6 linked regions of the Solanum lycopersicum genome follow. The protein of the gene in region 4 binds, or shares a complex with, the protein of the main gene of each other region. Links are inferred from orthologs where the notes say so. Each region holds a gene or a part of one and is shown on either strand. Other genes may lie near its edges.

Evidence for each region.
Region 1: photosynthetic NDH subunit of lumenal location 5, chloroplastic (region 4) and photosynthetic NDH subunit of lumenal location 2, chloroplastic share a complex: the UniProt entries of both Arabidopsis thaliana proteins name them as parts of the chloroplast NDH complex. The link is inferred for Solanum lycopersicum from reciprocal best matches to the Arabidopsis thaliana genes Pnsl5 and PnsL2.
Region 2: photosynthetic NDH subunit of lumenal location 5, chloroplastic (region 4) and photosynthetic NDH subunit of lumenal location 3, chloroplastic share a complex: the UniProt entries of both Arabidopsis thaliana proteins name them as parts of the chloroplast NDH complex. The link is inferred for Solanum lycopersicum from reciprocal best matches to the Arabidopsis thaliana genes Pnsl5 and PnsL3.
Region 3: photosynthetic NDH subunit of lumenal location 5, chloroplastic (region 4) and NAD(P)H-quinone oxidoreductase subunit N, chloroplastic share a complex: the UniProt entries of both Arabidopsis thaliana proteins name them as parts of the chloroplast NDH complex. The link is inferred for Solanum lycopersicum from reciprocal best matches to the Arabidopsis thaliana genes Pnsl5 and NdhN.
Region 5: photosynthetic NDH subunit of lumenal location 5, chloroplastic (region 4) and NAD(P)H-quinone oxidoreductase subunit S, chloroplastic share a complex: the UniProt entries of both Arabidopsis thaliana proteins name them as parts of the chloroplast NDH complex. The link is inferred for Solanum lycopersicum from reciprocal best matches to the Arabidopsis thaliana genes Pnsl5 and NdhS.
Region 6: photosynthetic NDH subunit of lumenal location 5, chloroplastic (region 4) and photosynthetic NDH subunit of lumenal location 1, chloroplastic share a complex: the UniProt entries of both Arabidopsis thaliana proteins name them as parts of the chloroplast NDH complex. The link is inferred for Solanum lycopersicum from reciprocal best matches to the Arabidopsis thaliana genes Pnsl5 and PnsL1.

Annotation. Positions count from the first base shown.
Region 1 is NC_090804.1:2,507,900-2,511,679, reverse strand, and holds photosynthetic NDH subunit of lumenal location 2, chloroplastic, read right to left. Parts: upstream 2,506-3,780; 5' UTR 2,465-2,505; coding exon 1,982-2,464; intron 1,892-1,981; coding exon 1,793-1,891; 3' UTR 1,773-1,792; exon of another isoform or gene 1,678-1,772; intron 1,578-1,677; exon of another isoform or gene 1,439-1,577; coding exon of another isoform or gene 1,223-1,438; intron 1,130-1,222; coding exon of another isoform or gene 1,006-1,129; intron 915-1,005; coding exon of another isoform or gene 697-914; 3' UTR 501-696; downstream 1-500. Other genes in the region: casparian strip membrane protein 2, read left to right, coding at 697-914, 1,006-1,129, 1,223-1,438. UniProt on the Arabidopsis thaliana protein: NDH shuttles electrons from NAD(P)H:plastoquinone, via FMN and iron-sulfur (Fe-S) centers, to quinones in the photosynthetic chain and possibly in a chloroplast respiratory chain.
Region 2 is NC_090809.1:1,367,796-1,371,738, forward strand, and holds photosynthetic NDH subunit of lumenal location 3, chloroplastic, read left to right. Parts: upstream 1-1,149; 5' UTR 1,150-1,231; coding exon 1,232-1,496; intron 1,497-2,092; coding exon 2,093-2,379; intron 2,380-3,188; coding exon 3,189-3,287; 3' UTR 3,288-3,443; downstream 3,444-3,943. UniProt on the Arabidopsis thaliana protein: NDH shuttles electrons from NAD(P)H:plastoquinone, via FMN and iron-sulfur (Fe-S) centers, to quinones in the photosynthetic chain and possibly in a chloroplast respiratory chain.
Region 3 is NC_090808.1:66,282,323-66,286,477, reverse strand, and holds the start of NAD(P)H-quinone oxidoreductase subunit N, chloroplastic, read right to left. Parts: upstream 2,801-4,155; 5' UTR 2,531-2,800; coding exon 2,392-2,530; intron 901-2,391; coding exon 536-900; intron 444-535; coding exon 327-443; intron 233-326; coding exon 147-232; intron 1-146. UniProt on the Arabidopsis thaliana protein: NDH shuttles electrons from NAD(P)H:plastoquinone, via FMN and iron-sulfur (Fe-S) centers, to quinones in the photosynthetic chain and possibly in a chloroplast respiratory chain.
Region 4 is NC_090800.1:5,016,534-5,020,619, reverse strand, and holds the start of photosynthetic NDH subunit of lumenal location 5, chloroplastic, read right to left. Parts: upstream 2,801-4,086; 5' UTR 2,526-2,800; coding exon 2,502-2,525; intron 2,351-2,501; coding exon 2,162-2,350; intron 1,482-2,161; coding exon 1,331-1,481; intron 1,126-1,330; coding exon 1,037-1,125; intron 283-1,036; coding exon 228-282; intron 97-227; coding exon 11-96; intron 1-10. UniProt on the Arabidopsis thaliana protein: NDH shuttles electrons from NAD(P)H:plastoquinone, via FMN and iron-sulfur (Fe-S) centers, to quinones in the photosynthetic chain and possibly in a chloroplast respiratory chain.
Region 5 is NC_090807.1:67,427,465-67,430,309, forward strand, and holds NAD(P)H-quinone oxidoreductase subunit S, chloroplastic, read right to left. Parts: upstream 1,378-2,845; coding exon 625-1,377; 3' UTR 501-624; downstream 1-500. UniProt on the Arabidopsis thaliana protein: NDH shuttles electrons from NAD(P)H:plastoquinone, via FMN and iron-sulfur (Fe-S) centers, to quinones in the photosynthetic chain and possibly in a chloroplast respiratory chain.
Region 6 is NC_090809.1:53,937,044-53,940,230, reverse strand, and holds photosynthetic NDH subunit of lumenal location 1, chloroplastic, read right to left. Parts: upstream 2,056-3,187; 5' UTR 1,909-2,055; coding exon 1,782-1,908; intron 1,704-1,781; exon of another isoform or gene 1,690-1,703; coding exon 1,603-1,689; intron 1,535-1,602; coding exon 1,461-1,534; intron 1,381-1,460; coding exon 1,258-1,380; intron 1,139-1,257; coding exon 1,067-1,138; intron 981-1,066; coding exon 884-980; intron 811-883; coding exon 707-810; 3' UTR 501-706; downstream 1-500. UniProt on the Arabidopsis thaliana protein: NDH shuttles electrons from NAD(P)H:plastoquinone, via FMN and iron-sulfur (Fe-S) centers, to quinones in the photosynthetic chain and possibly in a chloroplast respiratory chain.

The sequences.
Region 1 (3,780 bases), on a different chromosome or scaffold from region 4:
CATAAACTTGTTCTTTATTTTATTTCTCATTGTTAATCAAAAAGTCAACCTATTCATTATTTTACTTTCTAGTATTCTAATTTCTCATGTTTGATTCTTATGTTCAAGTAGAACTTTGTGCCTAATCCAAAAAACCATTTAGGACCATAACCATTGTTATTAGTATATTATCAATTGACCTAATATAATAAATCAATGATCATAAAGTGTGTTTGCAAAACATTAAAAAAGAAAAAAAAGATAGGACAAAGAATGTTGAAGTTTTTATCGGGAACAACCTCTCAATTCCATAAAGTTAAAAGTGACGTATGCATACATACTACCCTTCTCAAATGGATTGCAACGTGTCGTGTGCTGTTTTAATATCGCGATTTCTCGTATATAATGATACATTTTCTCGAGAAAAAATACATTTTCAAAATACATGTTAGGAAGAAAGTAGAGCAGGTAAAAAGTGTAGCAAGTTAATGCAAGACTTAACTACTTTATGGAATATCATGAACCAGAAAGTTGTACATTTCATTGATTAAATAAGCAAAAGCAACAACTAATTATGTGTCATCAAAACCTAATACTATTTGTAACTCTGTTACATGATTTGGTTCACTTGTTAGTATAAATTCGCATCACACTTGACATACAAATCATAACAACAAAATTTCATTCTAGTTTCAAAGTTTGAGCTAAAAGGAAAAAATGAAGGCAGTATCAATTGAAACTGGAGAGGGATCAAAGGCCAAAAGAGTTCATGGAGTGAACAGAGGAATCTCTGTATTTGATCTTGTTTTACGTATCGTTGCACTTGTTGGAACCTTAGCAAGTGCTGTGGCAATGGGTACTGCAGATCAAGCACTTCCATTCAGTACACAGATTGTAAATTTTGAAGCTCAGTATGATGATATCGACTCGTTCAAGTAAGCAAAACTGCAAACATATTATTACATGAAATAGAACAGTATAAAGGTTAACTAACACATTTTTTTGTTTTGCTTATTCTGATTGAAGGTTCTTCGTGGTTTCGAATTCTATAGTTTGTGTATATCTTGCACTTTCTATCACTATTTCAATCTTTCACATTATCAGAAGTAGAGCAGGAAAGAGCAGAGTTTTGCTCATTGTTCTAGACGCGGTAATACATTAGATTTCTGCTAAAGTTTTCATATTTAGTACTTTGTTATGATGTTGTACTGATATCTTTTATACTTTGCGAAAACTTTTGAAGATAATGCTGGTTTTCCTCACATCTGGAGCATCAGCAGCAGCCGCGATTGTGTATTTGGCACACAATGGCAACACTTCAACTAACTGGTTTTCGATATGCCAACAGTATACAGATTTCTGTCAACGTTCTGCTGGATCCCTTATCGGTTCTTTTGGTGCAATGGCCTTGATGGTTATACTTATAATTTTGTCATCTATCGCTTTATCAAGGCGCTGAAGATGTTGGCTACACTAGCAATTGCTAGCCTTTGTGTGTGTATTGTGTTTGTAAATGTTAGTTTCATCAGTTGCATTTCATTGTATCAAGATTTTCATCAGTTGTATCACATAATGAAAAGATTTCCTCCTTACTTCAATGTTTTCATCTTCAAATATCACGTTTATTCAACTAATAGTTATTCTCTCATAAACTCGTATGTAATCTTGATTCCAATTTCATCAACTCGCAGACCAAGCTTATAAATGAACATAAAATTGTATATAATTTCAACGTTTTTCGATCAGTTTATTTGTTAAACCAACGCGATTTTTCTGCTACAACATTCACTCACCTTTGAGCCTGATGATATTATTATGCAAGTAATCCCACCAATTCATCAATTGATTTCAACGTCTTCTCATAGAATACACGAGATTCATATACCTTTGGTGTTCGAATGTAGTAATCAAACTGCAGACGAAGAAAATACATAGAAATATCCATAACACTGAATAGAACCTCGAAAAATTCTGAACAGGGAAAATAAGGACAGTTAGTTACCTCAGCCATGTTATCAGTAAGCTCATTGACAGTTTTAATATAAGACTCTTTTCGACTTTCAGGCACCCTGGATAAGGCATTCTTCACGTCCTGTTTAAGATAAGCTGATTTAAGTCGTATATAAAACAATACATACCTCCATGAGTTAGTCTCCAACATCTCTTTAATACTATGTAGTCCATCTGCTGTTTGACGAATTCGTGCTACTGCATCTTCAGGGGACAATCCAGGCTCAAAGAAATGTTCTCTTAAGAATGATCGAACGCCCCAATTTTCAGCTAATGCTAAAGGGGTGAATTGTAGGCCTAGTGTCAATGGAGTGACTAGAAAAGTCGCGATGAGTTTGCGTCTACATGAGAAGTTTTGTTCATTAGTTGATAAGTTAGATTGGATTTTGGGTAGTGTCTTGCATTGTGTGTGATGAGTTTTGGTTATTTTGGTTTTTGGATGGAACAAAGTTGTAGGATTTGTGAAAGTGGTCATTTTTGTGTTGAAAAAAAAAATCTAAGGAGTGTTTGATGGTTTTTGTGTGTGTTTTGGATGGATATTAATTGATTTCCCTAAATCCAAAATGGACCTTAGGTTTTGGTGACTTGGCAAATATTTTATCCTCTTTTTTTCCCAATAAATTTTGGTGTTGTTGGGTCAATGGTGTAAGAGGCTTTGTTCTAGTTGGCCCAATTTTGGAATTTGTTTAACTTAGGGTTGGCCTTGTTCAATTTGAAACTAGTTTTACTTGGTTCGCATTTTTTCGGAATCAATCAAGACTGAACACTAGTAGCCCTATTTCATTGACGGGTTGGGATCAATCTTCTATCAATCGAACAAATTTCTTATGTTTTTCCCTTGAGGCATTCAATTCTCGTATCAAAACAAATTTGAGTTCAACATTGAGATTAGACACTAAAAACCATTTAAATTATGCTGAATTTTTCAACTATACACTCCTGAAATAAGTTATCACCGTCATAGAGCAGAGTAATGGTATCAGGATTAGTTATCCCAAAATAAAATAATGAAACTGACAGAAACACCCTTGAAGTCTATGATGTTATTTTTCTACACTACAACAAAAATAATTTTTGGCGGCATTAAATATTGACATTGATAAAGAGTGCGAAAGTCTTTACCGGCATTAGTTAAGTATCATTAGAACCAATGTTGCTAAATATTTTATGGACATATACAAAGAGTGTCAATTGCCGCTAAAAATACATATTTAACGACAATTAATGATTATTTTTGTTATAATGACTGGAGAGTATTTTTGTGAACAAATTATATCTTCTTTAAAATTATGAAATACATGTTATTTAGTTTTTGATATAACAAATCAAATCATCAATAAATTATCTTCATAAATAAAGAGATATAAAGCAATTTAGGCAAAAATAATACATTATTGATTGTGCATGAATAATTGCTTTACAGCTAAAATATCTAATGTCTCTAGCTCCCACATAGTTGGACTAATAATAATTGCTTTACAAATTAAAGCAACACCTTTAATTTACAAAAAATAATAGATGAGAAATGAATGGATTGGGATGATAAAATTATATAAACGAATTATAACTTAACTGAAAAAAAGAAATAATTAGAATTCTTTTGTAATCCCTATTAGTATAAGGGTCGTTAATAGTTTGTTTGATTAAATATTTTAAATACAAAAAATACTTGATCAAACTTTAAGCGAAAAAATAAGTACTTATAAATTAGTAATAATGCTACTCGTTGAATTATGACATGCGTAAAAATACATCTTGAAAATATTAGTGAAATATAAATTACTAATAAAA
Region 2 (3,943 bases), on a different chromosome or scaffold from region 4:
ACACAATTCACTCAATTTAACATGATTTCTACCTAATTTAAACTACTACTGTGAAACATTAACTCTTTAAATTAGTCAATTTTATATCTGAAATCGAATTTAAACATTTCTGTATATGAATACAGAGCAATGGAAGAAGGAATATATATAGAAAGTGAGATAAGTTAGAACTTACAGCGGTGTTATCGCCGGAAAGGATTTGACCGGAGTTGGCTCGTCGGAGAAGAACTTCGCCGGAGGAACTTGCCGGAGAGTGTGTAATTTGAACTTCGGTCCCAAAATGCGTGAAAATTTTGGGCTCGCATGGGTCCGTTTTAGAAGAAGTTTGGGCCTGTAAGTGAAGCCCATTGGGCTTATAGTTCATTATATGCAATACGATTACTCGAACGGGGCGGAATTGATCAATCTACATTTTCAATTCCGATTTTTCTTTCCACGAGCGTATCTACAGAATAAAGAGAGCAAATAAATGGACTTTGGTCATATTTACTCGACGTGCGGTCATTTCTTCCTTGAACATTCCGTTACGGAAATTGAATCAAGAAGAAATATGACTTTATGAGATACTAATAATTATTAGAACATGTTTTAATTGACTTATTTTAGGTGTATTTAAACAGTTTCATAGCATTCATGTAAAATATTAAGTATTTTTAAACACTTGATGCTACGACAAAATAACAAAAATAAGTCAAAACTCATATATTAAACACTTGATGCTACGACAAAATAACAAAAATAAGTCAAAACTCATATATTAATCTTTACTTATGTCACTTTGCTTATATAAGACATAAACAAGTATAGTTAAATAAGTTCTTAGTTCATTGACCATATAAAAAAAATACAAGTGTAACAAATAGGAGAATCGAGTTATAGATACAAAGAGATTGAAAATGAGTCAAGTAAAATAGATAAATTATCCAGCTCACTCGTATTTGATTCTTTCTTCAAAATAATTAGGTTGAAAGTCAGTGACAGAGCTAAGATTTTAAGTAACAAATTCGAAAAATAAAAATATCATAGGAATTTATAATTTTGGGAAAAACATAAAAAGGAAAAAAAGAAAAGAAAAGAGGGGAGAATTACAATCTTACCCTCAATTGAGATATCCTTCTAGTGGCCAATAGTCATCAAGATTTTCATCAAATGGATAATAATATTATAACTTTTTTTGAAAGTGCAAAAAATAGGCTATCATTTTTGTTCATAGTTTCAACACCAAAAAATTATGGCAAACACAACAAATTTAAACATTATATTTGAAGCTCTTCCCCTCATTCCCAAGATTGAAAAAATTCAGAAAAAAGCAAAAACAATAAGCCAAAAAAATAAAGAAATTCAAGAAAATTCACCACCAAAAATTACAAGAAGATTAGCATTAAGCATTGGTTCAATTGCTTTATTTGCAAATTCAAGAATTGATATTTCACTTGCTGAAGATAATAATGGATTTTTTATTACTGGTCCACTACAAGACCCTTCAATATCCACCAGTAAGTTTTTATTTTCTATATTTTTTTTTATCACGTCGCGTTTAACAGCCACTAACACTTGCATTTATAGATATTCCCAATTCATCTAATGCGAAATGTTTTATGTACCAGACTACATTAACAAAGTTCATGTATAGCACGAATATGAAATGGGTGAACCCCACATGTCCAAATTATTCGAGTAAAAAAATTTGAATTCGATGTAAAATTACCTTTATACACTACGAAAAAGCTGTGAATACATGGGGATTTTCCTTGGAATTAGTATAAAAATTCACCATAAACTTATTTTCCTATAAATTTTCATACTAATTCTCAGAAAAATCCCCATCATAGCTCATAGATAAGTGTGAAATTAGCCGAATCAGAATATTTCGCTGAAGCAGAAATGATAGGATCGTAAGAAGAAAAAGTCTATACGCCTATCCGTATTATGTAATTTACAGTTTTCTTGTAGTGATGTCGGACCCCATTTGGTGTCAAAGGGTAAAAAATTGAGCTTTTTTCGCGCATTTAAGTTTAAGATATCAAGAATCGAGTCGATCGTCCATAATTTTAATATGTTAGATAAAAGTTTTTGTAATATTTGATTGTAGATATTATAAACAAGGAGACAGGTACAAGATCATTTCTTAAGAAAGGAATGTACATTGCTAATATTGGAACAAAAGGGAGAATTCATAGGTTGAAAAGATATGCATTTGATTTATTGGCATTAGGGGATTTGATTGGAACAGATTCTTGGAATTATGTGAGGAAATATTTGAGGATTAAATCTACATTTATGTATTATGATTTTGATGAAGTTATCACAGCTGCACAAGTGAATGATAAGCAACCTCTCACTGATCTTGCTAATCGATTATTTGATAACGTTGAGAAGGTACATTTGATTTTATTTGTCTGATATTATATGTTGCTCGTATCCTTCAAAAATATTGTCCCAAATGTGTTCAAAAAATATATATAGATTTGAAGAGTCTGAGCAATATATGATTGATATTAGTTTGGTTAAACCCTACAAAAATTTTGTCGTATCAGTGTCACATCCTTGAAAAATGCATGTTTTCTTGAGGATGCGGTACACAATGTGATGTCAATAGTGTTTTTGAAGAGTCTGAGCAATATATATACACATATATAGGCTTGATGTTATGTTAATTGGACCATCTAAAAATGTTGTTGTACCTGTTATGTCGGATCCATTGCATAGCTTTTGGAGGATCCTCGATTGACGGACATATATAGAAGCACTTTTGAAGAATCCGAGCGACATAGGTTTGATAACTATGTTGGTCGAATCCTCCAAAAATACTGTTGTGCCCATGTGGAATCCTCCAAAATCTTACACACAAAAACTGTGACAATATTATTGAAGAGTCTGAGCAACATATGTCTGATACAATATTGATCGGACCCTCCAAAAATATTGTTGTGCTCGTATCAGATCCTCCAAAAATCTTAGCACATGCTCTGGCAATATTATTGAAGTCCGAGCAATATAAGTCTGGTGTTGTGTTCCTCTGACACTTCAAAAATATTGTCGGATCCTTACAAAAATGTATAGATTTTGTAGAATACGACACACATTATGATTGGTGACCGTCAATATTTTTGAAAAGTCTGAACAACGTAATTATAAATAGCAAAGTTTTTGATCATGTGTTTGCTCCAATATTTTTTTTTATGCAGCTTGAAGATGCTGTGAAGAAAAAGAACCTGCCTCAAACACAATCATGTTATCAAGAAACAACTACTATTCTCCAACAAGTCATGGACAGAATGGCATAAACAAAACATATGTTTTAATTATATTCTGTTAATTAGTCATTTTGACTACAAGAAGACAAAATGTTCCTTCGTAAATTTTGGAATTGTCAATAACACTTTGATGGAGATTCAATTTGATTTCCACATTTTTATAATAGAGACAACTCGGTGCATGAAGCATCTCGAGTCCATACATGACCTATGGAACGATGGAAGGATTACAATCCAAGACTTATTTCAGGTTCGAACATGTAACTAATAGGTCAAACAAAGATAACTATAACTTTTTAGCAGCATTCAAACATAATGAAATATTACCAAACAAAGATAACTATACCGTACCATCGTAGCAAAATTTTTATACATGACCCGTGGAACGGGGGAAGGGCCATAATCCAAGACTTATTTCAGGTTCGAACATGTGACTTATAGATCACACAAAGATAATTATAATGTTTTAGCAAAATTCAAACATAATGAAATATTATCAAATAAAGATAACTATACCGTTTTAGCAAAATTCAAATATGATGAAATATTACCAAACAAAGATAAATATACCGTTTTAACAAAATTCAAATATAATGAAATATTATCGAAAAAAATTAAAATGGAGATGCGGGGTATCGATCCCCGTACCTCTCGCATGCTAAGCGAGCGCTCTACCATCTGAGCTA
Region 3 (4,155 bases), on a different chromosome or scaffold from region 4:
GACCACAGAAGGCTAAACTGAAGTAAATCCAGGTAGCTTTTGCATACAATGTTGTTTTAACCACAACGACAAGATCTCAAAGTTTCCTTATTTACAAGAGAGTTGATTGATAAACAAGAAAAAGGAAGATGAAAGGAAAATCTTACCAGTTACCACACTCTGCAATGACCCTCACATTAGGACGAAGTGTCGGGAGTAAAGCAAGAAACTGCAGCTCTGCCTTTGATAAGACCTGAACATTTTAGGTCAAACAGTTAACAAAGATCTAGTCAAAATACTGCTGATGGACTAATTAGATGATGTACACTTGAAGGGGTGGATTTAACCTTGGCTTCTATTATCCAAACCACTAATCCTTTAGCATCCGGAGGAAGTAAAGAAAGCCTATAATCAACTTCTGGAGGAAAATACCATCTAGCTATTGGTTGCTTACCAACATGAGCCTGCAACATCAAAATTTGCAGATGAGAGTCAATTAGACACTGCAAGTTAGTGTTTGAGAATAAGCATATCGTATGCGAACTGCTAAACTTACAGGGCAGACAGGGTGGAATTTGGTAAGAGTGGTTTCAGGGTCACCGAGGCCACGAGCCGAAAGGTCCAAGAAATGATATCCCTGGTACTTAAGACGTGTAAGGTAGCGTCCTTCATAGCCCCCTTCATGAGGAGAGTAAATTGCTATGGCTTTGTGTTCTTCCACATCTGATAACCATTGACCCAAATCAGGTTTAATGAGATCTCCACCTATGAAGTCCTGAAGTTCAATGTTACATCTAATTGCTCCTTTCTTTTGTCTTCCAACTGAATCAAGTCTTCTCGTTCTCACAGCCTTTGATATGCCATTTAATTGTACTCGTTGCTTCTGCAGACCATAAGACTGCACTGCCCCTTGATAACAGGCTGCATTTTGCCATTTTAATTCAGATTTCATGGTACATGACCGAAAGAACAAAGGCATCATAATGAAAAACATTGAACGTTAAGACATCACTCTCAAAATTTAATTAATGCGAACAGGATAACAGTATCATTTTGGTGCTGCAAGTGTGCATTTCCACATGTAAAAGGTAGAAAAAGTTATAAATAAGTCATTTTCCAAAGAGAACTGATAAGATTATGTTACAGGGAGAACTGAAAGGGTGCCTACTGTAAGCAACCTGTGAAACTCGAGAACCAGAAGTCAGTTTTTACCATTGTCAACAATGGCTAGAAACATTGCCAATGCACTGCTTAATGTGACAGTGCATAACAGTAAGCACAAACATTTTCAGCTTTATAGACCAATATTAGGGAAAGTCTGGATTTCATACCATGTAAAACAATAACAATCGGGAACAAATGTGAGTTGGAGCTGAATCTCTACTCACCCAAAAAACAAAACTTCAAAACATAATTAAGTAAATGTACACTTTCACTACCTACCCCACTAATATTTACATATAACAAGCTGGAATCACCCATTATGATATCAAGTCTTGATCTTTTTAGTTCTTTAACCATCACCCTAATTTTGTAACAACACATAATAGCAACTAAGCATACGTCTTCACACACACGCACACCGTGATATTGAACTATAAATCTGAAAATTGGGAACAAATGCGAGTAGAAGCTGAATCTCTACACACCCAAACCATAGCTTAAAAACAGAATTAAGTAAAGTGTACATATCACTCCCTACTCAACTAAATATTCACATTTAACAAGATTGAATAGTCCATTAAGTTAAGTCTTGATCTTTTCAGTTCTTTAACCATCCCCCTAATATCAAGATATTATAACAACACATAATAGCAACTAAACGTTATACATCTTCACACACACACACACACACACCATGATATTGAACCATAAAGCTGAAAATTGGGAACAAATGTGAGTTGAAGCTGAATTTGTACACAACTTCAAAACATTATTAAGTAAAATGCATACTTCCACTCCCTACATAACTTAATATTTACATTTAACAAGCTTGAATCAACCATTAAGTTATCAAGTCCGTAAAGATATTGTCATCCGGACCTAACTCAATCGCAAAACCATACACCCTCCTTCACGCTTAGGCCCCTTGAGAGCGAGAACCAAAAGCTCACACCGGGAATGAACCTGGTACTCATACCATGTAAAATTAAGTTTTAGGCCTATCTAAACTACCTCAAAGGTAGGAGGTGCTCAAGCCTTAACCACCAATATGAACCCCTTTTTTTTAAAAAAAAATAAAAATTAACACCCCACCTCACACAGATGCAATATTATTACAAAGTCTTGATCTTTTCACTTTTTTAGTGATCACCCTAATATCAAGATATTGTAACAACCCATAATATCAATTAAGCATTATAAATCTTCACACTGCGCACACACACAGAGAAAGGGGTTATTGGGGATGACCTGAAGAGGAACAGGGTTGGTCTTCAGTGGAAATATTGGGGCGCCGCCGGCAAGAAGACCCATTGCTAGTAATCAAGAACCTCCTAGTGCTGCTGCTGCTGCTGGTGGTGCTAGGGAAGGTGTAGGAGAGAGTTGTCATTTGGGTATTTTGGTGGCAGTGTGTGAGTGGTGGCAGTAGGCAGCTATAGCAACAGAGACTGTGGAAGGACCATTGCAAACTTGGACAAAGATGACTACTTTGTTCCTTGCCACTCAATAAATGTGCTGATAAACTTTACAATAAAGAAATTACAAATAACAAATATTTAAATATGCATAATAATATTAGCTATATAAATTTATGGGATAAGTTCTATATTTTAAAAATTGAAATGATGTTTTGGGGAGAATTTAAAATTTGAGATAACATAATCTCAAATTAGTTATTCAAATTTTAATTTTATATTGTATATTCAAACATAGCTAGAATAATAATCATAAGGTGAGAGTTCAAACTCTATTGTAACTTTTTTAATGAAATAATTTTGTGATTTAGAAAAGAACAAAAGCCAAACTTAAACCTAATTTATATATTTTGGATTGAAAATCCAAAATCCAAGTAAAGATTATGAAATTTCCAAACATCCTATTTAATTGCATAAGTTGTCCTTCAAATAAATTAATTTTTATTCTTTTATATTTTGAATTTTTAAAATAAAACAAAGTTAAGTATTCATTGTAAAATTCATAAGGAGTAAGAACGTTCACCACAGATAAAATATGAATTGTGATACGACCATTAACATCTAAAAAAGACAATGTTTCACAATAATTACTAGTAAAACTTTTGAAACACATAACAGAACTCCAAAAATAATTGGAGCACATATATCTCCTTCCTTTAACTAGAACACGTACTATGGTGCTTTGATTCCTGCATCATATTTTGAAAATAAATTTATACCTTATAAGACATAAGTTGTTTAAGATAACAAAATATAACCAACACTCAATATATAATGATTTTAAAATATAAATTACCAGTGAAAATATTATTTATATAGTATTAAAACATAAAAACTAAAACCAGCTCTGTTGTAAGAGGGAAAATAAAAAAGACAAACTTTAGGGCTTTTTATATAGTAATCTCCCTATCGAAACCTCAAAGATTTCCCATTTCTGCAAAACCCAAATGGAATCCAAAGAGGACGAAGCCTCCCAAAGCGGAGCAAACCCATGGAAATTCAGTCCATTTCAAGCAAAGATTTAGTTTTGTTAAGGCTTCCGGTGAAATCCCTTTTACAATTCAGGTCTGTGTCGAAATCTTGGCTTTCCTTAATCTCTATCCCTAAATTTGTGAAGACGCATCTCTTATTTTGTGCTAGTAACAAGGAGTTATGTTTAAGGTTGCTATTTATGTTGGCTAGTTATGTGTAGTGATTTACATCGCCATTCTGTAAAGGAGGTAATTGACTTGGATTATCCAGGTAAAATTTCCAAAGACTATCCTTGGCTGGTGGGTTCGGTAAACAGATTGATTTGTGTTGCCTATGTAACAAATTGCATGACTTGTTTATATGGAATCCGTCAATTAGAAAGTATAGCAAGTTGCCTAGTTATAGACTTAATCGATGTGGTGGATATCAAGTGGAGGAACCTGGGGATAGCAGATTTGGTTTTGCGTTGATGTGCTTCAAGATGATTACAACGTAGTGGGAGTTTGCCCTGTTTACAGAAATATGCGTCTATGTCGTGTTGAGGTCCAGATATATTGTCTAAGGAGTT
Region 4 (4,086 bases):
TTCCACATACCTTTACAGTGCAAATGAAGAATTGGCTTCCGTTGGTATTAGGCCCTGCATTAGCCATGCTAACAATCCCAGGTCCGGTATGAACCACTGCAATTACACAAGGATTTTTCATCACAAAAGAACATTGAACACAATTGACAATCTGAACCAAAGGGGTCCATTGCCTTAACCACAAGGAGAAGTTTGAAACCAATTTTTAAGAAGAAAATCCAACTTACACTTGAAGTTTTCATCCTTGAAGGTACGACCATATATGCTTTTACCACCGGTTCCCTGCGAATAAAAAATTAAATCCATGGGGGGAAGATTACAATATGCCAGAATGGCAAGTGAAAATTTTCCAAATTATGAACTGCAAACACTAGAACACTCTTCAATCAATCTATGCATATTAAATATTGGAGCAGTCAAGTTGTGTGCAATAACACATTCCACTTAAACAGAATTATTGAATATGGCAGTAGTACATATTCCACTGAGCATCTTAGCTCATGTACTCTTTCACACATTCAACTACTAATCAAAGAAGACATCCCATTCAGAAACATAGAACAAGCAAAGTTACATCATGCAAGTTCATTACTTATTTTTGAAAAAAAGTTTATACCATGAAAATTGATAATTTAGAATACAGAGATCTTACGTTGCTACAAGCATCAGGGAAGTCTCACAAACACAGAACCGAAACAAACTGAAAAACAACCTTTTCTTCTCTGGTTTTCCATGGTAGAAATTGGAGCCATGGAGGATCCAAAAGATGAAGGATAAACCACCAAACAGGAACAAGAAAACACTAGGCAAAGAACTAATTCAGAATTTTGCATTTCTGTTAATTTAAAATCTTGCTCAAGGTGAAACAAGCAAAATAAAAGGCTAAAAGATAAGCACCCAAAACACACCAAGTGTACTACAGAAAATACAATGAACTGGGTGAAGGATGTGTGTGTCAAGAAGAATGCCAATTAGAGGAACAAATAGAAAAAAAAAAGAAAGAAAGAGAAAGCAAACCAGGTGTTGAGACACCTACATTTCCCTTGTCGAAATCACCCCCTTGAATCATGAAATCTTTAATAACACGGTGAAATGCAGAATCCTTGAAGCCAAAGCCCTTCTCACCTGATCGGAAGAAATCAATCCAAACTATAAGCTAAACATAAATGATAGAAAGAATTATATGCATGAAGCTCAAGCAACAAGGCAGAATATTATAGCAATAATGATAATGAGAACAAAAACTGCAATAAAGGTAGTAGTGATAGCAGCACTAGTCATAAGAATATCGACGACAATAATATTAATAACATAAAATCTATTAAAGAACCTGTGCAGAGTGCACGGAAATTTTCAGCTGTCTGTGGCACATCATCACCATATAATCCAATTACAATTCGCCCAGCAAGTTTTCCAACAGGATTCCCAATGCTAATATCAAAATAAACTTTGTTTGTCACTTTGGATTGCAAATCCGCCACCTGGATTTCAATAAATACATTCAGATCTATTAAAAACTTCAACCAAGTAATGAACAAATTATGGAACATTAGTCCCATACAAAAGGCAACATAACACCATGTTTGCTGAAAACTGAACCACAGCCATTCTAATCAATGCTCCAAGACTTAAAAATCCGCTTCCACAATTAACTTTGCTACTTAACAAAAGAAAACACTGCATTATATGACAGTCTTCTCATTTTGGGTCATATTTGACATCTCTATATTTTTATACCAATTTCACAAGTTGTAAGTATTAAAAGTCCTTGTTCCACTCACAAATATTATGAAGAACTAAAATTTCTCTTTTCACAACCTTCGATATAAACTTTTTTTCCAAAAGTTGTTCATAGTTTCTTCTAGCATCACCAATACTATATACAAACCTAATTTAACATATTCTCACATAAAATGAGACAACGAAGTAACACTCAGCCACACATGCCATCTGCAACCAATGTATTCATCTACTTATCCCTTACATTTAGCTCTAGAACTTAAACAGAAAAGTTATTCCTCACAGAAACCCTAGAACGCATATTTACTAGCTCAACGCTAGACATATTGACTCAATCATCAAATTTTCGGCGAAATCAAAGAAGAAACACACAAACAGTAGAGCAATCACTAATAAATTAGCTCAGCGAGCGAGCACAGACCTCCACCGCGGCTTGAATAGAACCAGATGAACCGCCGGTTTTTTTGTGAACCGAACGGTTTGAAGAAGTGTCCAGACGCAACGAACCACCAAATAAGCTTGACGATGAGAATGAAGATTTCAGCAACTTCGGATAAGCAGCATATGTAGGGTTCGCAACTCGTGGAACTGAAATTGAGCCTAAATTCGACTGTAAACGGAGAAACGTTAGTCAACTAAAACAACAACAACAACAACAACAACGCTCTATTTCCAAAAATTAGTGTTATTACTACAAATTAGAAGGCAACACTGAACAACAAAGCTCAACTGCAAATTATTGAGAGGTTAAAGAAACTCACCACTGAAGCAAATGTAGCTGCCATAGTTGCCGATTTCAGTTCTCCGGTACGGCGAGTTGAACTGCAATAGAGATAGAGAGAGAGAGTGTGTGTGGTTGGTGAAAATGAGGGACAAAGATGGTGTGTGACGGAGATGACGAGCCTCAACCCTCTTGTATAGACCGATTAGGTAAACATATCCATTACAAATGGTAAAAAAGTTGTTACTAGAGTATAATATTAGGAAATAGCCTAATTTTTACCATGGTTTAAAGTGCGAGATCGTTTGGTTACTGGATAAGGATTGAGTTACGTTACATAAGTTATACTATATTTGATAGCTCTTTTATGTCAAGATATAATGTTTTAACACACATAATTCTATGTTTCATTAGAAAATTAGAAAACTATTGAAGTAATACATGTATAAGTTATGAGTCAATCCATGAATTATTTTATGCGAGTTCGAGATGAAATAAGTTATACTTGAATAATTAGTACTACATGAATAAAAATATAAATTGACCACTTTACGTTTCACTCTCAATCAAATATACTCCACTTCTTTTTAAATAAACATTCAAATACTCTCTCTATATTTGTAGATCTAGAATGTGACTCTTCATCTTCCAAACAAATAAAATGAAAAAAACTTTCAATTTTGTGTTTTTTCTTTGCCATTAAAAGTTCGAAAACTCTAAACTTGACTTATTTTTTTTATTTTCTTTTTCTCCTCTTGTTTTCTCCTCTTTTAATCTGACGAGAAAGGAATGAAATTCTAGGTCTTCTCAATATATTTTTCAATGAAGTTGATGTTTGAGTACTCCCAATTTTGATGTGAGTTTTGTTTTATTTGTTCAAAAATCGTGTTTTCTAAAAAAGGATTCATTAGGTTTAGTTTCTAAAACTCCAAAAAATGAACATGTATTTGAAGTGTGACAAAATAATATTAATATTTTAGTTATTGAAGTCGAACAAAAATAAGACATTTTACCTTTGTTTTTCAATATTACTTTTTATTTTTTATAAAATTGAACATTTTAGTTTGAAATCATCTATTACCTGTGTATAATAATATTCTCCCATGATGAGCTCCACGTTGAAGCCTTCTATATATATATAATGTTATAAAGAGTACAATGTATCAAGTAGACTATGATTGTGGTAAGAGTACAAGCTTATGTAAATAAGTGTTAGGTAGTGGAGCCTGATTAATTTTAGGTTTTCCTATTTATTCTTTGTAACCAAAAATACTCTGATTTATTAATATAAATATACCTCACCGTCGTAGAAGTTTACTCACGGGGTTTTACCACGAAATATTGAGTTTTCTCTCTCTCTCTCTAGATTTCTCATCTCTTTCTCTTGAAAGTTCTTGTGTTCTTCAATCATCTAGTGTGTGTGCGTGAATCGATCCTAACAACTGGTATCAGAGCTAAGGAGATTCAACACGATCACAGAAGATGGATAGTTCGAAGCTTGGAATCAAGAAGTTTGATGGATCCGATTTCAGTTTCTGGAAGATGCAGATCGAAGATTATCTGTACCAGAAAGATTTTCACGAACCGTTGACCGGGGTGAAGCCGGAATCCATGACGGAGGAGAA
Region 5 (2,845 bases), on a different chromosome or scaffold from region 4:
TTATAAAATTTTGGTCCATCTGTTTGAGAATCTGTCAAAATCTTGCAGTTTGCACCATTGTATACTCTCTCTCAGGCTAGCTATCATTATTGAACTTATCTACATCGATATCGACCTGTTGTCCAATTGGATGGAGTCTAAGATCCACCATATGTGGTGTCAGAGGTACCTCATGCTTGTGAAAAGTAAGAATTGTTTTATCACTCACTGTTAAATACTGTATGTTGTTGTTCTGCTAGACTCTCTCTTTGCTCGATAAAACGTGTGATATTTCAGATCCTCATTACTGATGGTATCTAATGATCTATGAATTGATCAGAAGAACATGCTAGGATTCATTACTTAAACAAAACTAGATCTTGTGCAATCATATTAAATATTTGACTATATGTTTTGCAAGTGGTTTGAATTACCTGATTCTTATTTTTTACGTTGTTTTTGTTAAGAGTTCTTTCGAACATCACTGCTAAGAGTTGAACTTCTCATTTGGGACAGAACTCTTCCTGCACAAAAGTTTTTCTGCATTTCTTATTACATGCCATTGCCATTACAAAACTTACAGCTTGTATGTACAACAACCCAAAAGACAAAAGAACAAACAATCTACTCAAAAACTGAAGCAATTCAAGCTTCAGAGCTCTTTTCTACCATCTTCTCAAGTATCACAGACTTAAGATTCACCATTGGCGGTCCTTTCTCTCTACGTTCGAGTTCTTCGAGCCTGAAAGATATCAACCTATCCCAGTTCCCACCTTCAAAAAGCACAGCAGCCTTACCATCAGTAATCCTCTGCACAATCCCACAATACATATAATATGGATTATTAGAATTCTTGACAATAGCAATCATCCCAGGTAACAAAAGTGGCAATTCAGGTGGCTTTGGTTTCTTCACAAGACTTTGATTAAAACCAGAAACCATACTTGATTCTGTTTTCTTGGGTGGTGGTGGTGGTGGATTTTTCTCTATAAATTTCATTAGACCCTTCTCACCTCCCGGAAATCCGCCAGTAAACCCCATCATTTCTTTCTCAAATCCGTCCTCCGGTATCTCCCCAGTCTCCTTGTTTTCTTGATTATCATCATCACTAGCTGCTGCTGCTGCTGATCCTACTGCCTTTTGTTCTTCGGAAATCGACTTTTTTAGCTCTTTCTCTATACCCTCTTCTCCATTACACAGACCTCTACCTCCAAGAATCTCATAAAGATTGAATTTTGCTATTGGTGTAACTGAGTTTGAAGATGATTTCATAGCTGATTTGGTATGAACACTACTACTGAGGTTGAGATTGACAGATTGACCAAGAAAGTTTGATTTTTTAAGAGGTGGGGTTTGAATTTGAAGGCTTGAGAGTTGAAAGGAAGAAGCAGAAGCCATGGTTTTGATTTTTTTTCAAGAACTTTGGATTTGGGAAAGATGATGGTAGAGGATGAGATGAGAAGTAGAAATGGGAAACTGTAATTTGTCCTTTCAAATTCTGACCACCAATCTGTTTTTGTTTTGATATCTTCTATTGACAAATGAAACACATGAATGATGTTATCTTCCTTGGAAAAAGATTAAACTTGCACTCATGTTTTACACCATCCTTTCAAAAAGAATCAGGACCACACGTGAGGAATTGCGTTAAAAGTAAATTATAATTTTTATATTCATTTATGAAATTACACGAGATATATTATGTTTTTCTTTAATAATTTAAGATTTTTTTAAAAAATGATCATATGATTTAACTTGATGATCAGAGTATATAGAGGTATTAGATTCGCGCTATGTTGCTATTTGTTATCAAAAGGAATTTCTAAAAGTCAGGACCACACATGTGAAAGGGGTCTTGTAGAAGATATAGTTGATTAAATAAGAGGGCGTTTGAATTGATTTAAAAGTCAGTTATTTTTATTTTTGGAAGTGTTCGATAAATATAAAAAATAACTTAGAGTAAGTAAAAAATGGCTTAAAATAAGTCAGAAAGTGTTTGACAAAGTTAAAAATAACTTTAAAATGACTTAAAATAAGTTTAAAATCAAAAGTAGGTCTTCCTCTGCCTTTTATTTTTTAACTTATAAATCATTTAAGTTTGACATTTTATTTTTGATTTAAAAGTTACTTTTTAAGTTCATCTAAATAGCCTCTAAAGTTGTTTTTTTAAAGACGTAATTTTTCACAAATTGCAAACATAAAAATCATATTTGTATGTTGTAAATATAGTTTGCATAATTGCGTTCCATAATAAATTTTATGTTTGCTATGGAGTTTTTGATTTGTATAATTCGCTAGATACATCCAATTTTATTCAGATTGTTCAGTTTTGTATAAATTCATTTATAAATTGTAATTTGTATAATAAGATCTAGATTTATATAATCATAAGTATATAGAACGAATATATATATATATATATGTGTGTGTATGTATGTATGTATGTATGTATGTATTTGTATATAATCTTTTCTCTCGTTTCATACAAACACAAACACATTTTATACATTCTATATCGAAATATATAAAATGTCTAATTATATATCGGAAATGACTAATTGTATAGCGAATCAGATTACAAAAGAATGGAATGTTTGTGACAAATTACAAACAAAATAAATCATAGCTATATTATTTAATTTGAATAACATATTTTGCTATTTCATACCATTTTTCTTTAATACATTATTAAACACAATTTAGAGATAATAAGTATTGATAAAAGGTGTATATAGTGTACACATTGAATTTGCATAAATTGGAGCGTAAATTATTCCTATCAATAGCCAGAATGGGGACGAAAAGAATTCTTTTTTGTCTCTATAGGATTCATTAAATATTTGATAATAAATTCAATAATTAATAT
Region 6 (3,187 bases), on a different chromosome or scaffold from region 4:
TTTCATCATATTTTATAGGCATAATACATATATTGGACCCTAAACTTGACTTCAAATTTTGACTTTGACCTCCAACTTTAATAGTGCACAAATAGACACTTAAACTATCATACCATTAAATAAATAAACACACGATTTTTGGAGACAAAGAGAGTGAAATGCAAATGCTCCCACGTATATTAGTGAGCCACTCAATGACTGCCAACTAATTAAATATTTTATGCGTCCATTTTAGAATTTAAAAAAAATTTAAATGAATTTTGATTTGGAAATATAAAAAAATATATAAAAGGGATTCATTAATGGTGGAGTTGTTATTTCAGCATTTTTTTACCATTGTGGACCTCAAAAATTACTACTCCTAACTCGCACAAAATACATGCACATTACATGTTTGCCAGGTACGACTCGCGTGTTTATTTATTAAAGGGTTAGATAATTGAAGTGTTTGTTTGTTTACTATGAACGTTGGAGGTCAAAGTTAAAATTTGAAACCAAGATTAGATATGTATCATGCCGTACTTTATTTGTGCTTTATTTTCCATCACTTTAAAATTTGTCGTTAACACTTCACCGCTTCAACTACAAGGGGATTTCAGTTACTTATGGGATAGCCAGAAACATTCTTTGTACTGTAATTCAATAAACAAATTGCAAATCCTGTTTCATGGAACAAGACTCTATCATTGCAGCTCTTAGAACAATTCTAAATGTCCAACACCTGAAATGAATCAGCCACCACTTTAAGTTTGTTGCGGAATTTTCTCCATCGCCTTTCATTCGCTCCCACGATTAATGTGTAGTATCTCCCTGTACGAAATGTCTTAATACGAATGCAGAAAAATGTAATGTACAGTTAAAGGAAACAAACCAGATCACTTACCATTTGCAATTGCTATAGTAGCAAATGCTGCCCGCGAAAAATTTGGAGATGTCAATACATATTCAAAGGTGAAATAGTTTTTCCCATCCGTAGTTCTCTACATAATTTTGAACAAAAATATGGTGACTAATTGAAAAAGAGCTACGTATATTGTACAATCAAGAGAATAAGAAAGGATCATACCTCCTTCATTTCCATTATATTTGCCACCTGATTCGGTGCAGAGTAAACATGTTTTACCAGATCGGGCACAACCTTTAGGAAAGTAGAAATAAGTTGGTATGACGAAGAAAATACATGTCTTTTTTATATTTTTCTCCTCCTTGATAGCTTAATAAAAAACGGCTACATAGATGAATAGTACCGCGATTTACCTCTTGCATTGGCCCCAAATCATGGATATCTGTTTTATCAGTTGGTATAAAACTAAGTCTTACATTTTGCAGTTGTAGATACCTATCTTTAAATGCAGAATCATGACCTCTGAAATCGAATTCCTGTACATACATCCAAAGTCAAAATGAGAGTTTACTAATTTCTAAAAATTCATTTCTTAAAAAAAAAAGAAGCAACATACCCTCCAATCTGATGGATAGTAATACGAATAACCATCTCGTTTGTCAACAAAGATTTCATAGTTCTCCGGTACTCCTGCATACACGTCATTTAATTATAAAAAGTAAAAAGTTTAGAGAATAAAAATTATAGTAACAGAGTACCTTGAGCTAGAAGGGGAGTCGCGGGTAATAATAAACCCAACGAAAGAGCCCCTGCTCCTAATAGATATGACCTTCTCATCAAGCATCCTGAAACAGAGATACTAGTAGAATTTTACCACGGAGAAAATGGCGTAAATGCAAACATGACTTCATAATTGATCGATATGAAATTTTCTTACTCTGTTGATTAGGGGACGTGTTTTCTGATGCCGAACATGTAATAATGTTGTGTAAGCCATGCCTATTCAAATTGTTGGCTGCTGGTGATGGAAGCCCAAGATTCAATGAGAGTGAAGTAGCTGCCATTTTTGTGGACAAAAATCACTAGATTTTTGCTTAACATGTTTATTTTTTCTCCTAATACAATCACTTTTTTTTCCATCATTTTTTCTTGCTCAATAGGATAAGATGCAAATTAAATGTGAGGATGACCTTTCCTGCCAAGGTCCAAATGGGCTTTTATGTCTCTTTCAACTACAACTAAATGAGCTGTGCTTCATATGTGGGGCTAAAATTTGACTATATCCACATTGATAATTTTTACTAATTGTTCTTGCAAATTTTTCACAAGTTTACCATGTCATAAATATCTGTATGTAACAACAGCACAAACTTGAATCCTTGATGGATGAGGCGGATCTAATGTATTGATACCGAGTTTATCTGAACTCAGTACTTTTAATGCGAAATATAAATTTATGTGTAAAAATTCATCAAAATTGCAATAGATAGTAAATGTAAACTTATAACTTAAAAATTAATGGGTTGATCAATGCTAAAAACCTTAACAATTGACTTCGAAGAATTTAAGATAATGATACTTTAACAACTCGACCATATGAAATGTGATATCAAATGCACCCATGTTGATGTGGAAAAACCAAGCACAGGTTCTTTCAATCACTGTATAGCACAAGCTATTTGAAAGGAAATCCAACTGGCGATGCATCAATGATCAATTTACATCCTAGCGTGGAGGTATTCATCAACTGTGTAAATGCAACGCCAAATATAATTGAAGAATGATCAAAGGGTACCAGGGGTGGAGTACGCCATGTTAATGTACCTTGGATGATCCAAATCTCAGTGTATGCGTCTAAAGTTTCAATCCTGAAATACAATATACAGGAAAGGAAAAATAGCAAGCAAACAATAATATTTGTATTTGAATTAATACTAAGGTTACAATCTTTATAAAATATCTCAAAAAGATATTTAATCCCCTGATTCTTCTCTTCACAGATGTTATTGATTTGGCGGAATACTTGCGGCTCAACCCTTGGAGCGAAGACTTCTTTATATGCTGAAAAGCAATTATGTATTCCTGTGTATATGTATTTTTTTTTGTCCTTTTGGTCAGAAGAATACCTCTTTATATAGGCTTGAGTTAGGGCTTTAGGGTATTTTGGTCTGAGCAATTTTGATCCCTGGGCCTGAAGAACATGAGTTGGGCTCATCTTGTCAACTTAATGGAATGATCCAAATGATTTGGACTTGATTTAAGTCATACAATTTTGGCTTAGATATTAATTAGACTTTATCAACCAGTAATTTGACTTGGTCAACATATGGTGATTTAAGATTT